Linked DNA regions of Macaca fascicularis. The protein of the gene in region 3 purifies or fractionates together with the protein of the main gene of each other region. This does not show direct contact. Links are inferred from orthologs where the notes say so. Each region holds a gene or a part of one and is shown on either strand. Other genes may lie near its edges.

Region 1 (3,007 bases), on a different chromosome or scaffold from region 3:
CCTTTGCTGAACTGACACTGGGATAGGCACCTCCTGTGTCTGTTTCTCCGAATGTCGTGATAGTCCTGTGAGTTGAGCAGGGACCTGAGCTGAGTGGCTAGGCACAAGAAGCGCCAGTGCAGCTCTTTGTGCTGAATGGTGCTGTCTCCTCTGTGTTGGCCCCTACCCACCCTTGCCCTGGGGCCCTTCCTTAAGGCCTCATGCTGTGTGGGGGACAGTCCCCAGCTACTCTCCTTCGCCATCCCAAGGTACAGTGTATAGTTCCTAAGAGGCGATCAAGGCTCCGGGCCCTTGTTGCTGAAGCACAGGCCTCATTTGGGCTGGTGTAGGACTCTTGTTGGCCCGGGAATGGGAAAGGCCACTGGGGAGAGCTTAGTTTGGGTACCTCGTGAACAGAATAGGCAGCAGTCAGGACAGGTGTTCAGACCCCAACTCCAAGTTCTAGGCAGTGGTGTTGACCCTCATCTATGAAACAATGTATGACATGTGGAACCATGTTTGTAACGTATCCTGGCACGGGGTAAGCACCTGGGAATTGGAAGCCGTGATTCTTATTTGGGGGTCCCTTCTCCCTTTTGGGGTCATTTGCATTTTCGAGGAACATCCTCTGTTGTGGAACATTGAACTCCGTGGGCCCCTTGTTCTGCGTGAGGATTTCCTCACCTGCCTTCCAGCCCTGATTCTTCTCAACCATGGGCCAGGCTGGGGTACCGTGGTGTCAAGAGAACTTTAATGAGTGGGCGCCTGTCCCCCAGGGCAGTGCCAAGGAGCTGTCCCCTGCCGCTCTGGAGAAAAAGCGGAGGAGAAAGCAGGAACGGGACCGGAAGAAGAGGAAGCGAAAGGAGCTGCGGGCGAAAGAGAAGGCCAGGAAGGCTGAGGAGGCCGCGGAGGCCCAGGAGGCGGTGGAGCCAGCCCCAGAGGGTGCTTGCACGGAGCCGTGGGAGCCGCCGGGGCTGATCTTCAATAAGGTGAGTGGGAGCTGGGTCCTCGGGCGGGCTGGGTCGGCTTCAGGCCTCAGCGTTGCTCCTTGTTAGCTTCATGACCTCCCTCCGGGCCCCTTCGCGTCTGTAAGGTGGTGACGGGGACAGCGCAGTTCCCTTAGGGTGCCGGCCAAGACTGGGGCCTCGTGTGGGGCTGGCATGAGCTCATGTCATACCTTCTTCCCAGGTGGAGGTGAGCGAAGATGAGCCGGCCAGCAAGGCTCAGCGCAGAAAGGAGAAGAGGCAGAGGGTGAAGGGGAACCTGACGCCGCTGACCGGGAGGAACTACCGGCAGCTGCTGGAGCGCCTGCAGGCACGGCAGAGCCGGCTGGACGAGCTGCGCGACCGGGATGAGGGGAAGGCGCAGGAGCTGGAGGCCAAGATGAAGTGGACCAACCTCCTGTACAAGGCGGAGGGCGTGAAGATCCGCGATGACGAGCGCCTGCTGCAGGAGGCCCTGAGGCGTAAGGAGAAGCGGAGGGCGCAGCGGCAGCGCCGGTGGGAGAAACGCACGGCCGGCGTGGTGGAGAAGATGCAGCAGCGCCAGGACCGGCGTCGGCAGAACCTGCGCAGGAAGAAGGCGGCCCGCGCCGAGCGCCGCCTGCTCAGGGCCCGCAAGAAGGGCCGCATCCTGCCGCAGGACCTGGAGCGCGCAGGCCTGGTCTGAGTCTTTCCCACCTGGGGCTGCCGTCTCTGTCCTGGGAGGCTCCAGGGGACCCTCTGAGTCCTTGATGCTGGCTCTGTCCCAGGATCTCCACAGACCGCGGCCTCTGCGTGTGAGGGGGACACTGTCATGCTCTGCTGAGTTGTGAGGGCTCAGATCACGTGTGTGAAAGAGAATGTTTCTGCGTCATCCTTGAAAACAGGGTCCGGGGCCTTCAGACCCGGGGAAAGGGCGAGCCACACTGGGGCCCAGTCTTCTTTCCCGGGCCTGAAAGCTTCCCCGAGGTTTGCAGGGTCAGGGAGGAGGAACGGTGGGGGTGGGCAGTCACTGCCCCTTCCCCCGGCCTGTGTTCGCAGGAGCCACAGGACAGAAGAGGGTGGCCTCCGCTGCCGAGCCCCGTTAGTCTGCAGCTGACTGGAACAGAGGACAACCCTGAGGTGTGGCGTGTGGGCACCTGGCACTCGGGAGTGGTGGGAGCACGTCCAGGCATGGTGCGTCCTGGGGCAGAACGCTGCGTCTCCTCCCCCTTCTCTTGGCTTCTGCCTGTTGGGGTCTCATTCCTTTCTGTTCCTCTGCCTCGGGGCGGCATTTCACCTTCGAATTCAGAGGGAGGGAGGGAGCAGTACCTTCCCAGAGTCCACAGGTGTGAGTTGGGTCAAGTGCATTGGCCCAAGGGAAAGAGAAAGAGTAAAAGCTGGAGAGAGTGAAGTGAATGGAGGATACAAAATGGAATGGAAGAATTAAATCCAAAGCTCCAGGCAATCAAAATGAATACAGGTTGAATAAAACTCAGGTGAATTTTAGTGACACGTGGATGATAACGCTGTAAATAAAATTCTTTTGATGAAACTCTCCAGTTAACGAGACGAAGATTGTAACCGAAAGGGAGCTGGTGTGACTTTTAATAGTGTCCACTGATGAAAAAGCCCCGTGAAAGATCCGATGTGAGATGGGTATGAGCTTGAGCTAGGAGACAGACAACAGTATCTGGAAAGAATACAGTCTTTCCAAGCGTAATTGGAACATGGATGGAAATTGACCACCTACTTTGTCTAGAAAAGAAGTCGTAAGATATTTGAAGGAATCAGTGTCGTTACCTGACCACGTCCCAATGTCGTTAAAAAAATTTTGAGCTAATTTTTTTTTTTTTTTTTTTTTAGACAGAGTCTCGCTCTGTCCCCCAGGCTGGAGTGCAGTGGCACGATCTCGGCTCACTGCAACTTCTGTCTACCAGGTTTAAGCGTTTCTCCTGCCTCAGCCTCCCGAGTAGCTGGGACTATAGGCGCCCGCTACCACGCCCTGCTAATTTTTTGTATTTTTAGTAGAGACAGGGTTTCACTGTGCTAGCCAGGATGGTCTCGAT
Region 2 (3,157 bases), about 41 Mb from region 3:
TTTTCACAAAGGAGCAAGGAAGGGTTTCTTGCCTGGCAGTGGTTGACAGTTTTTCTTTGTCTCATGTAGCTCTTGAAATTGGGGCTGACCTCCCATCTAATCATGTCATTGATCGCTGGCTTGGGGAGCCCATCAAAGCAGCCATTCTCCCCACTAGCATCTTCCTGACCAATAAGAAGGGATTTCCTGTTCTTTCTAAGATGCACCAGAGGCTCATCTTCCGGCTCCTCAAGGTGAGTGGTAGGAGGGTTCTAAAGGTGGTCCAGCTATACATCTTGCCTTATTTACCTGTGTATGATCGTTTTTTCCTGTGAGGCTGACTCTTTTTCTTTGGTTTCTGGGGAGCAATTTCAGTGAAGTTGGGAGTCTTGAGAACAAAAAGATAAATGCCAGTAATAGCCCTAGAAACCTTTCAAAACAAACCAAACCTCATGAGAACTTTGCAGAAGGTTTCATTTAGGAAGTTACAGCAAGGATCCATGAGGCTCTTTGGGTGTTGATGATACTTTTATGGCATAAGAGGGCTTTTCTTTTCTTTTCTTTTTTTTTTTTGAGACAGAGTCTCACTCTGTCACCCATACTGGAGTGCAGCGGTGCAAACTCAGCTCACCAGAACCTCTGCCTCCCAGGCTTAAGCGATTCTCCTGAGTAGCTGGGATTATAGGTGTGCACCACTACTACCCGACTAATTTTTGTATTTTTAGTAGAGACGGGTTTTACCATGTTGGCCAGGCTGGTCTTGAACTCCTGACCTCAAATGATCCACCTGCCTCAGTCTCCCAAAGTATTGGGATTACAGGCGTGGGCCACCACACCCGGCCAAGAGGGCTTTTTACAAGTTTACTGAGGCCTCATGCTGCCTTTGTTGGTATTGGAACAGATACTAGAGAACTGTTGGTCTGGGCCAGGCACAGTGGCTCACGCCTGTAATCCTAGGACTTCGGGAGGCTGAGGCGGATGGATCATCTGAGGTCAGGAGTTTGAGACCAGCCTGGCCAACATGGTGAAACCCCGTCTCTACTAAACATACAAAAATTAGCCAAGCCTGGTGGCACGCACCTGTAGTCCCAGCTACTTGGGAGGCTGAGGCAGAAGAATTGACCCTGGGAGGTGGAGGTTGCAAGTAAGCCAAGATCACGCCATTGCACTCCAGCCTGGGCAACAGAGCGAGACTCCATCTTTAAAAAAAAAAAAAAGGAGAGCTGTTGATCTGGGCCATATTTTACACTGGGCCCCGAATCTTGGTTTGCGGGCTGTATCTGATAGTCTGACTTTTCTTACAGTTGGAGGTGCAGTTCATCATCACAGGCACCAACCACCACTCAGAGAAGGAGTTCTGCTCCTACCTTCAGTACTTGGAATACTTAAGCCAGAACCGTCCTCCACCTAATGCCTATGAACTCTTTGCCAAGGGCTATGAAGACTATCTGCAGTCCCCGCTTCAGGTGGGTCTGGAGTGCACTGAGAGTAGGAAGGTGGGGTGAAAATGTATCTTGAGAATATATGCCTCCAAATGTTACTAAAACTCAGAAAGCAGTGGAAAGTTTTTGATATTTTAGTGCATTGTCCTTTGCCAGAAACTGGCTAACTTTATCCTTTTCCTCATTCATCAGCCACTGATGGACAATCTGGAATCTCAGACATACGAAGTGTTTGAAAAGGACCCTATCAAATACTCTCAGTATCAGCAGGTACTGTGTGGTATGCAGGGTGAGGAAAGCACAGGGCTAGCATGACCTAGGGAGATTGGGATTACAACCATAGGATATTCTCTCCTCCAGGCCATCTATAAATGTCTGCTAGACCGAGTACCAGAAGAGGAGAAGGATACCAATGTCCAGTGAGTGCTTTCCCCTCAATCCCAGGGACTTGCATATCTACATCTGTATATGCCAAGTCTGCTTGACTCTTCCCTTTCTTTGTTAGGGTACTGATGGTGCTGGGAGCAGGACGGGGACCCCTGGTGAACGCTTCCCTGCGGGCAGCCAAGCAGGCTGACCGGCGGATAAAGCTGTATGCTGTGGAGAAAAACCCAAATGCCGTGGTGACGTGAGTAGCAGCCTGCTTGCTAGGAAGTTAGTCCCCATTGCCAAATTTCCTTAACATGTCTCCTCACCTTATTGTCTCTGTTTCAGGCTAGAGAACTGGCAGTTTGAAGAATGGGGAAGCCAAGTGACCGTAGTCTCATCAGACATGAGGGAATGGGTGGCTCCAGAGAAAGCAGACATCATTGTCAGCGAGCTTCTGGGCTCATTTGCTGACAATGAATTGTCGCCTGAGTGCCTGGATGGAGCCCAGCACTTCCTAAAAGGTGCACCCAGGTTGGGGTGTAGGTGGAGGGTGATGATGGATGAGACATCTACCTGGGAGGAGGGTACAGGGTTTAGGGGAAAGTGAGTTGGACCTGGGTCACATCATATGAGTTTGAGAGCTATTGCTCCACTGCCTCTGTGCCCTTAGCAAATGAAGTCGTCTCTTCAAACCTCAGTGTTCATATTTGTAAAATGAAGGGAGTGGGCCAGGTGCTGTGGGAGGCCAAGGTGGGAGGTCAGGAATTCGTGACCAACCTAGGCAACATGGCAAAACCCTGTCTCTACTAAAAATACAAAAATTAGCCAGGCGTGGTGGTGCACGCCTGTAATCCCAGCTACTCGGGAGGCCGAGGCACGAGAATCGTTTGAACCCGGGAGGAGAAGGTTACAGTGAGCCAAGATTGTGCCACTGCACTCCAGCCTGGGCAATAGAGCGAGACTCCGTCTCAAAAAAATAATAATAATGAAATAAAAAATAATGAGGGGAATGGACTCCTTGAGCTGACGTATGTACCCTGAGCTTAGCTTTCATCAGGAACTTTTATGGGACTTTGTGACCCCACAAAAGTTAAGAACTACCAGATTAGACTATCTTGGGTTCTTTCAGTTTTTATCTGTGTGACTCTGTAAATTAACCTAGAAGTGGAATCATCCGTGACAGTAGTTGGAAGGCTGGCTTAATAATGTGACAACATGCATTTGTCTCTTTCTTCCATGCCCATGCCAACGTTGGTTGGTTTTGACATGGGAGGTTTGATCCTTCTGATCCTTCAGTTAGTACAGACACACCATTTCCCTCCCTCTGGAACTAATTTGACTCTCCTGCTGTGCAGATGACGGTGTGA
Region 3 (3,519 bases):
AAATCTTTTGGGGAGTCTTTCCTTTGACCAGTTTATATCTCTGTTTTAGAGGAGGGCTTCTCAACCAGAATGGGTTTGTTGATTTATTTTTATAGACCTCTGGTAGAGAAGAGACCCCCCCCTTTTTAATTTTTTTTACTACCTGTTGTCCTGTCTCAGAGAACTATTACAATGGTGTAAGTTCATCATTCCTTCCCCTTATTATGGCTCTGCTTAGGAAGAAAAAATCTTTGCCTTGGCTACCAAGTTCCTATCTATTCAAGATGCCACTGACAAAGAGTGAATCTGTGAATCACATGAATCTGGTATATCTGAAATATATCCAAACAAAAAGCACCTAGCCTTTTAATGACTCTCCAGAAGTCAGTTCTCTGACTGTAATTATCATCCCTTTGGGGGTATGTGGAAATTCTACACAAGTTGATTGGTGATATGTTGAGATGTGAGATCTATATTTTCTAAGCAAAGTTGCCATGCACCTGATTGATTGGCTAGGTGCATCCTGGCGTTTGTCGTTTGTTGGTGTGGTCTGATAGTTGGTTTCACCACTGCTGGGTACCCAGAGTCATCACATCCATAGAGACAGAATGTAGGCTGGTGGTTGCCAGGGGCTGGGGGAGGGGAGGAGTGGGGAATTTGTTTAACAGATAGAGGCTTTTAGTTTTGCAAGATGAAATGAGTTCTAGAGATTGGTTGCACAACAATGTGAATATACTTAACACTACTGAACTTTATACTTAGAAATGGCTAGGATGGTAAATTTTATGTTACCTGTATTTTAATACACACACACACAAAAACTTTGGGCCAGGCACGGTGACTTACACCTGTAATCCCAGTACTTTGGGAGGCTGAGGTGGGCAAATCATAAGGTCAGGAGTTCGAGACCAGCCTGGCCAACATGGTGAAATGCCGCCTCTACTAAAAATACAAAAAATTAGCCGGGTTTGGTGATAGGCATCTGTAATCCCAACTACTTGGGAGGCTGAGATAGGAGAATCGCTTGAACCTGGGAGGTGGAAGTTGTAGTGAGCCAAGATCGCGCCACTGCACTCCAGGCTGGGTGACAGTGTGAGACTCCATCTCAAAAAAAAAAAAAAAAGCAAAAAAAAAGTAATGAGAGCTTACTTCAAGATGGCAGCAAAAGACAGACAGAGGAAAAAAGGCATTGGGAAAAAAAACCAACGTGCCTTGGTGATTAAAGTTAACTGAGTCAAGGGGAGAAGTCAAAGGTAACTATAATAGGCTTTTTCTATTAACACAAATAGGGAATGAGTGGTTTTGGGAAAGAAAGTGATGAATTATACCTCAGATATTATATTGTCTATTACTGTGGCCAGGCACAGTGGCTCACACCTGTAATCCCAGCACTTTGGGAGGCCAAAACAGTCAGATCACTTGAGGCGAGAAGTTCGAAACCAGCCTGGCCGACATGGTGAAACCCTGTCTCTACTAAAAACACAAAAATTAGTGTGGTGGCATTTGCGTGTAATCCCAGCTACTCAGGAGGCTGAGGCATGATAATTGCTTGAACCTGGAAGGCAGAGGTTGCAGTGAGCTGATATGGCGCCATTGCATTCCAGCCTAGGTAACAAGAGCGAAACTCTGTCTCAAAAAAAAAAAAAAAAAAGATTTGCCTGTAATGAGCCAGTACCCCCAGCTTTGTGCTCACTTTACATGCAAAAATTATGTTGTTTACTGTAGAGCAAAAATTGAAGGGCACATTCAAAACTGAGAGGTAGGCCAGGTGTGGTGGCTTACGCCTGTAATCCCAGCACTTTGGGAGACCGAGGCAGGTGGATCACTTGAGATCAGGAGTTCGAGACCAGCCTGGCCAACATGATGAAACCCCATCTCTACTAAAAAATACAACACATTAGCCAGTCATGGTGGTACACACCCGTAGTACAGCTACTTGAGAGGCTGAGGCAGGAGAATCGCTTGAACCTGGGAGGCAGGAGGTTGCAGTGAGCTGAGATCACGCCACTGCACTCCAGCCTGGGTGACAGAGTGAGATCCTGTCTCAAAAACAAAAAAAAGACAAAAGCAAAACAAAACCTAGAGGCAACAGATTGATAAGTGACACAGTTACACTGGTCAGTCTCTTCTGCTAATACCTGTTGTCTTTCATTATTGAAGATTCATAACATGTTTTCTTTTTTATTTTTTTTGAGATATGGTCTTACTCTATCACCCAGGCTGGAGTGCGGTGGCATGATCTCTCCTCACTACAAACTCTGCCTCCTGGGTTTAAGCAATCCTCCTGCCTCAGGCTCTTGAGTAGCTGGGACAACAGGCACATGCCACCATGCCTGGCTAATTTTTGTAGAGATGAGGTTTCACCATGTTGCCCAGGCTGGTCTCGAACTCCTGACCTCAAGTGATCCACCCACCTCAGGCTCCCAAAGTGTTGGGATTACAGGCGTAACTCACTCACTTGGCCTCAGTGTATTTTAATATTGGTTGAGACTAGCCTTGCTCATTGATCTTCTCTTTTAGGGTTTACTTGGTTATTCTTGCTTATTTTTCCATAACAACTTTCATTTTTATTTAATCCTGTGTTTTCTAGTTTTAAAGACTATTTTATAATAAATTTTCATCATTAAACTCTTGTGCTTAAACTGTTGATTAAACAAACAAACAATGAAGAGATGAATGAAGCAGAAAATGTGAGTTTCATGCCTCACATTCCCACTCCTCTGAGGTTAATATTTTCATATATATATTTTCAGGATGTATTTGTAATCTCATACAAATGTGTGTATTTTTTTAATGAAAATATTTAAATTTTTGTAGTTACACCTGTAGCTCTAACTAACTTGGCAATATCCTCTGTGTTTCTTTACAGCCATTATACTTGCCCACGAATCTTTGAGAACATTATAATGACCTTTGTGCCTCTTCTTGCAAGGTGTTTTCTCAGCTGTTATCTCAAGACATGGATATAAAAAATTCACCATCTAGCCTTAATTCTCCTTCCTCCTACAACTGCAGTCAATCCATCTTACCCCTGGAGCACGGCTCTATATACATACCTTCCTCCTATGTAGAGAGCCACCATGAATATCCAGCCATGACATTCTATAGCCCTGCTGTGATGAATTACAGCAGTCCCAGCAATGTCACTAACTTGGAAGGTGGGCCTGGTCGGCAGACCGCAAGCCCAAATGTGTTGTGGCCAACACCTGGACACCTTTCTCCTTTAGCAGTCCATCGCCAGTTATCACATCTATATGCAGAACCTCAAAAGAGTCCCTGGTGTGAAGCAAGATCACTAGAACACACCTTACCTGTAAACAGGTAAGTCCAGTCTTCATTCTGAATTATAGTTCCTAGCCATTTCTCAAATCACTTTATGGTTTAGTGAGAAGGAAATAATATGTTAGACAAGGTCTTTATTTTAATTTTAATTTTTATTTTTTTGAGACGGAGTCTCGCTCTGTCGCCCAGGCTGGAGTGCAGTGGCACCATCTTGGCTCACTGCAAGCTCCACCTCCCGATTTCACGCCATTCTCCTGC
Region 4 (3,519 bases), on a different chromosome or scaffold from region 3:
TATGTATTTTCTTCTCTTTTTTCCGACAGGTCAGAATCCGAGTCCAAGAAGCGTAAGCATAGGTAAGAGCTCTTTAACTCATTGGGGGCACAGTGGCATGTAGAGTGGTGATTTCTTTTTCTTGAAGTGAAGCTCAATACCTTGATCTTTCTCCTGTTAACATTCCCTAACTCTTTACATTTCACTTTTGGTTTTATTTCCTTTTTTAAAAAAGTTACTTTTAACAATCTTTCCTTATTTCTCAGGTCTCCCACTCCAAAGAGCAAACGTAAATCTAAGGACAAAAAGCGAAAGCGGTGAGTGAATTTGTGGGGAATTTGCTTAGAAAGTAAGTGAACACCACCTTAGTGGGAAGGGGTTGAGTCAGTTATGTCCCTAACTGGTAAAAGGTTGAGGGGTAGGTGAGGAAAATCCAGGGCAGGTACAGCAGTACCCTGAGCTGTGGCGGTGGTCTTCCTTCAGGTCTCGAAGTACAACACCAGCCCCCAAGAGCCGCCGGGCCCACCGTTCAACTTCTGCTGACTCTGCTTCCTCCTCTGATACTTCCCGCAGTCGGTAAGGGGTAGTCCAGGAGGAAGGGAGGGAGAGGGAATGATGGGTTAATTAATTTAATATTTATTGAGCGCCCACGGTGTGCTAGGCGCTGCACAGACCATTCGGAAGACACGGTCCCTGCCCTCTAGGAGCTGACAGGCTAAAGCAACAGGATGGACAGACATATACATTTCCCCTTCTCTTTTTTTTTTTGTTTTTGTTTATTTGTTATTTTTTGTTTCGTTCTGATGTATATGGACTGCCAGAATAGGGGGGGTGGTGGTTTGTTCGTGGTGTCTGGGGGAGGAAGGAATCCTTACCCTGGCTTCCTTAATCGGGGAAGGCTTCCTGAAGGAGGTGGGCTCAGAGGTGAGTTGTGAATGAAGCGGGTAGGGAGTGGGCTGGGTGGATGGTTTCGGGATGTTTGGGGGAGGTGAGTGAAGGGGTAGAGGGAGAACACTGTTTGGGATTGTGTTGGGAAGAGAAGAACCAAAGTGGACTGTACTTGCATTTCAGTGAATGATTTGAGTTATGCGACTAAGCAGGCTTTTTGGAAGAGGGTTGTACAGTTGGAAAAGGTGGATGGGAGTTGGGGAGGGGGTTTCCTGTTCTCCCTTTGAGCTGATTTCCTTCCTCTCCCCCATCCTCAATTAACTCCTGCAGGTCTCGAAGTGCTGCAGCTAAAACTCATACAACTGCCTTGACTGGGCGAAGTCCTTCCCCTGCTTCAGGGCGACGAGGGGAGGGAGATGCACCTTTCAGTGAACCAGGTACTACCAACACACAACGGCCTAGTAGCCCGGAGCCTGCTACAAAACAGCCTAGCAGCCCTTATGAAGACAAAGATAAAGACAAGAAGGAGGTATGTTCCTGAGTTGGTGATGTTCATTGGATTGCAAGTGTATAGATTTAGGATAAACTTGTGACATGAAAGGGAGAGGTAGTAACTTACTAAAATAAATTCGGTTATTTTTTTCTGCATTGATCTCCCAGTTTTCTTACTGTATCTGCAGAACTTGTAGTGTTGTTACTAGACTGAATTGTGAACCCTTTAGAATCAAATCTCACTGGATACTAATAGGTTTTATATTGTATCTTGTTTATACACAGAACTGGAACAAAAGTTGTATTTTATCTGTGTACGCCGTGTTTCTTTTCTTTTCTTTTTTCATTAAATGCTCGTTGTGTCTCACTAAAACTGTTTAATCCATTGGGGTGCCACCAATAGTTTGAATGAAACACTGGAATAGTCTTCAGTAGTTTTCTTTTCTAATTTTAAGCGTTAATCATTTCCTCTTGCTTTAGTGATTACAGTGTAAATTCTTGGCCTCTGTCATCAATTTTCCATGTCATCCAGGATTACCTTTCCAAATTACAAGTTGGTTGACCTCAGAAACTTAACTGCTTCCTTATTGCTTTTGAATTACATTTAAGGCTTTTAATAATTTGGTCTTTTTCTCATTTCCTGTACTCTTTCCATCCTGGTCTGCTTTTCTACTCTTCAAACAAATCATGTTCTCACATCTTTATTCATGTTGTTTCTTTTCCTTTAATAGAGTTATTCTTAAAAGGTGAAGTTGCCATTCGCTTTAGGAAACTGCTTATTTTTCCATTTAAAGATAGTTTTTTCCGCTTTGATAACATTTCGTAGTGGTATTTGTTGTTAAATGTAGTAGTGTGTTAGTTATTTGCGTTTAGTGTTTCAGTTTTAAGATTCTCAGACTATCCATATCTTCATATGTTTTCCCCACTGTTCTTTATATAATTCCTTGTTATTGAATGAAAGTGATTGCTTGTGGTCAGGGGATGTGTAAAAGAAAAGTTATTGGAAAGGGTGTTGGGATCTTAGGAGTGATGTGAAGTCTTGGCGTTTATGAATCCCTATCCCTACTCTCTCTTTCACTCTTAGAAATCTGCAGCTCGACCTAGCCCCTCTCCGGAAAGGAGCAGCACAGGCCCAGAACCACCTGCTCCCACTCCGCTCCTTGCTGAGCGACATGGCGGCTCCCCACAACCACTTGCAACAACCCCCTTAAGCCAAGAGCCAGTGAACCCCCCATCTGAGGCCTCTCCCACTCGGGGCCGTTCACCACCTAAGTCTCCTGAGAAACTTCCCCAGTCTTCTTCCTCAGAGAGCAGCCCACCATCCCCTCAACCTACCAAAGTTTCTCGGCATGCCAGCTCTTCCCCAGAAAGTCCTAAACCTGCTCCAGCTCCGGGGTCCCACCGAGAGATTTCTTCTTCTCCCACATCCAAGAATCGCTCACATGGCCGAGCAAAACGGGATAAATCACATTCTCATACCCCTTCCCGTAGGACGGGGAGGTCCCGTAGCCCTGCCACCGCTAAGAGAGGGCGATCTCGGTCTCGAACCCCTACAAAGAGAGGTCATTCTCGATCCCGATCTCCCCAGTGGCGTAGGTCCAGGTCTGCACAGAGGTGGGGAAGATCTAGAAGCCCCCAGCGACGTGGCCGCTCTAGGTCTCCTCAGCGACCAGGCTGGTCTAGGAGCAGAAATACCCAGAGAAGAGGCAGGTCTAGGTCAGCAAGGCGAGGGAGGTCCCACTCTAGATCCCCAGCCACTCGGGGCAGATCTCGTTCTAGAACACCAGCCCGGCGGGGCAGGTCACGCTCTAGAACACCTGCCAGGCGGAGATCACGATCCAGAACACCTACCAGGCGTAGGTCTCGGTCTAGAACACCAGCCCGGAGGGGCAGGTCTCGGTCTAGAACACCTGCTAGGCGCAGATCTAGGACCCGATCGCCAGTACGACGGAGGTCTCGTAGTAGATCACCAGCCAGGAGAAGTGGCAGGTCACGCTCCAGAACCCCAGCTAGACGTGGCCGCTCACGCTCCAGAACCCCAGCCAGACGTGGCCGCTCACGCTCTAGAACCCCAGCTAGACGCAGTGGTCGCTCACGCTCCAGAACACCAGCCAGGAGAGGGAGGTCTCGATCTAGGACACCAAGACGAGGAAGATCCCG

The links. Proteins that work in one complex are often made in the same cells at the same time.
Region 1: the proteins of ESR2 (region 3) and SURF6 purify together in Homo sapiens (affinity purification with mass spectrometry; 3 studies listed by BioGRID and IntAct, with this or other methods). This does not show direct contact. The link is inferred for Macaca fascicularis from reciprocal best matches to the Homo sapiens genes ESR2 and SURF6.
Region 2: the proteins of ESR2 (region 3) and PRMT5 purify together in Homo sapiens (affinity purification with mass spectrometry; 3 studies listed by BioGRID and IntAct, with this or other methods). This does not show direct contact. The link is inferred for Macaca fascicularis from reciprocal best matches to the Homo sapiens genes ESR2 and PRMT5.
Region 4: the proteins of ESR2 (region 3) and SRRM2 purify together in Homo sapiens (affinity purification with mass spectrometry; 3 studies listed by BioGRID and IntAct, with this or other methods). This does not show direct contact. The link is inferred for Macaca fascicularis from reciprocal best matches to the Homo sapiens genes ESR2 and SRRM2.

The regions. Positions count from the first base shown.
Region 1 is NC_088389.1:6,044,422-6,047,428, forward strand, and holds the end of SURF6 (surfeit locus protein 6), read left to right. Parts: intron 1-755; coding exon 756-968; intron 969-1,167; coding exon 1,168-1,647; 3' UTR 1,648-2,493; downstream 2,494-3,007. UniProt on the Homo sapiens protein: Binds to both DNA and RNA in vitro, with a stronger binding capacity for RNA. May represent a nucleolar constitutive protein involved in ribosomal biosynthesis or assembly.
Region 2 is NC_088381.1:90,670,523-90,673,679, reverse strand, and holds part of PRMT5 (protein arginine N-methyltransferase 5), read left to right. Parts: intron 1-69; coding exon 70-233; intron 234-1,283; coding exon 1,284-1,445; intron 1,446-1,613; coding exon 1,614-1,691; intron 1,692-1,781; coding exon 1,782-1,840; intron 1,841-1,926; coding exon 1,927-2,049; intron 2,050-2,135; coding exon 2,136-2,311; intron 2,312-3,145; coding exon 3,146-3,157. UniProt on the Homo sapiens protein: Arginine methyltransferase that can both catalyze the formation of omega-N monomethylarginine (MMA) and symmetrical dimethylarginine (sDMA), with a preference for the formation of MMA.
Region 3 is NC_088381.1:132,120,476-132,123,994, reverse strand, and holds part of ESR2 (estrogen receptor beta), read left to right. Parts: intron 1-2,848; 5' UTR 2,849-2,938; coding exon 2,939-3,300; intron 3,301-3,519.
Region 4 is NC_088394.1:3,609,237-3,612,755, reverse strand, and holds part of SRRM2 (serine/arginine repetitive matrix protein 2), read left to right. Parts: intron 1-29; coding exon 30-62; intron 63-245; coding exon 246-296; intron 297-462; coding exon 463-555; intron 556-640; coding exon of another isoform or gene 641-683; exon of another isoform or gene 684-903; intron 904-1,197; coding exon 1,198-1,396; intron 1,397-2,443; coding exon 2,444-3,519. UniProt on the Homo sapiens protein: Required for pre-mRNA splicing as component of the spliceosome. As a component of the minor spliceosome, involved in the splicing of U12-type introns in pre-mRNAs.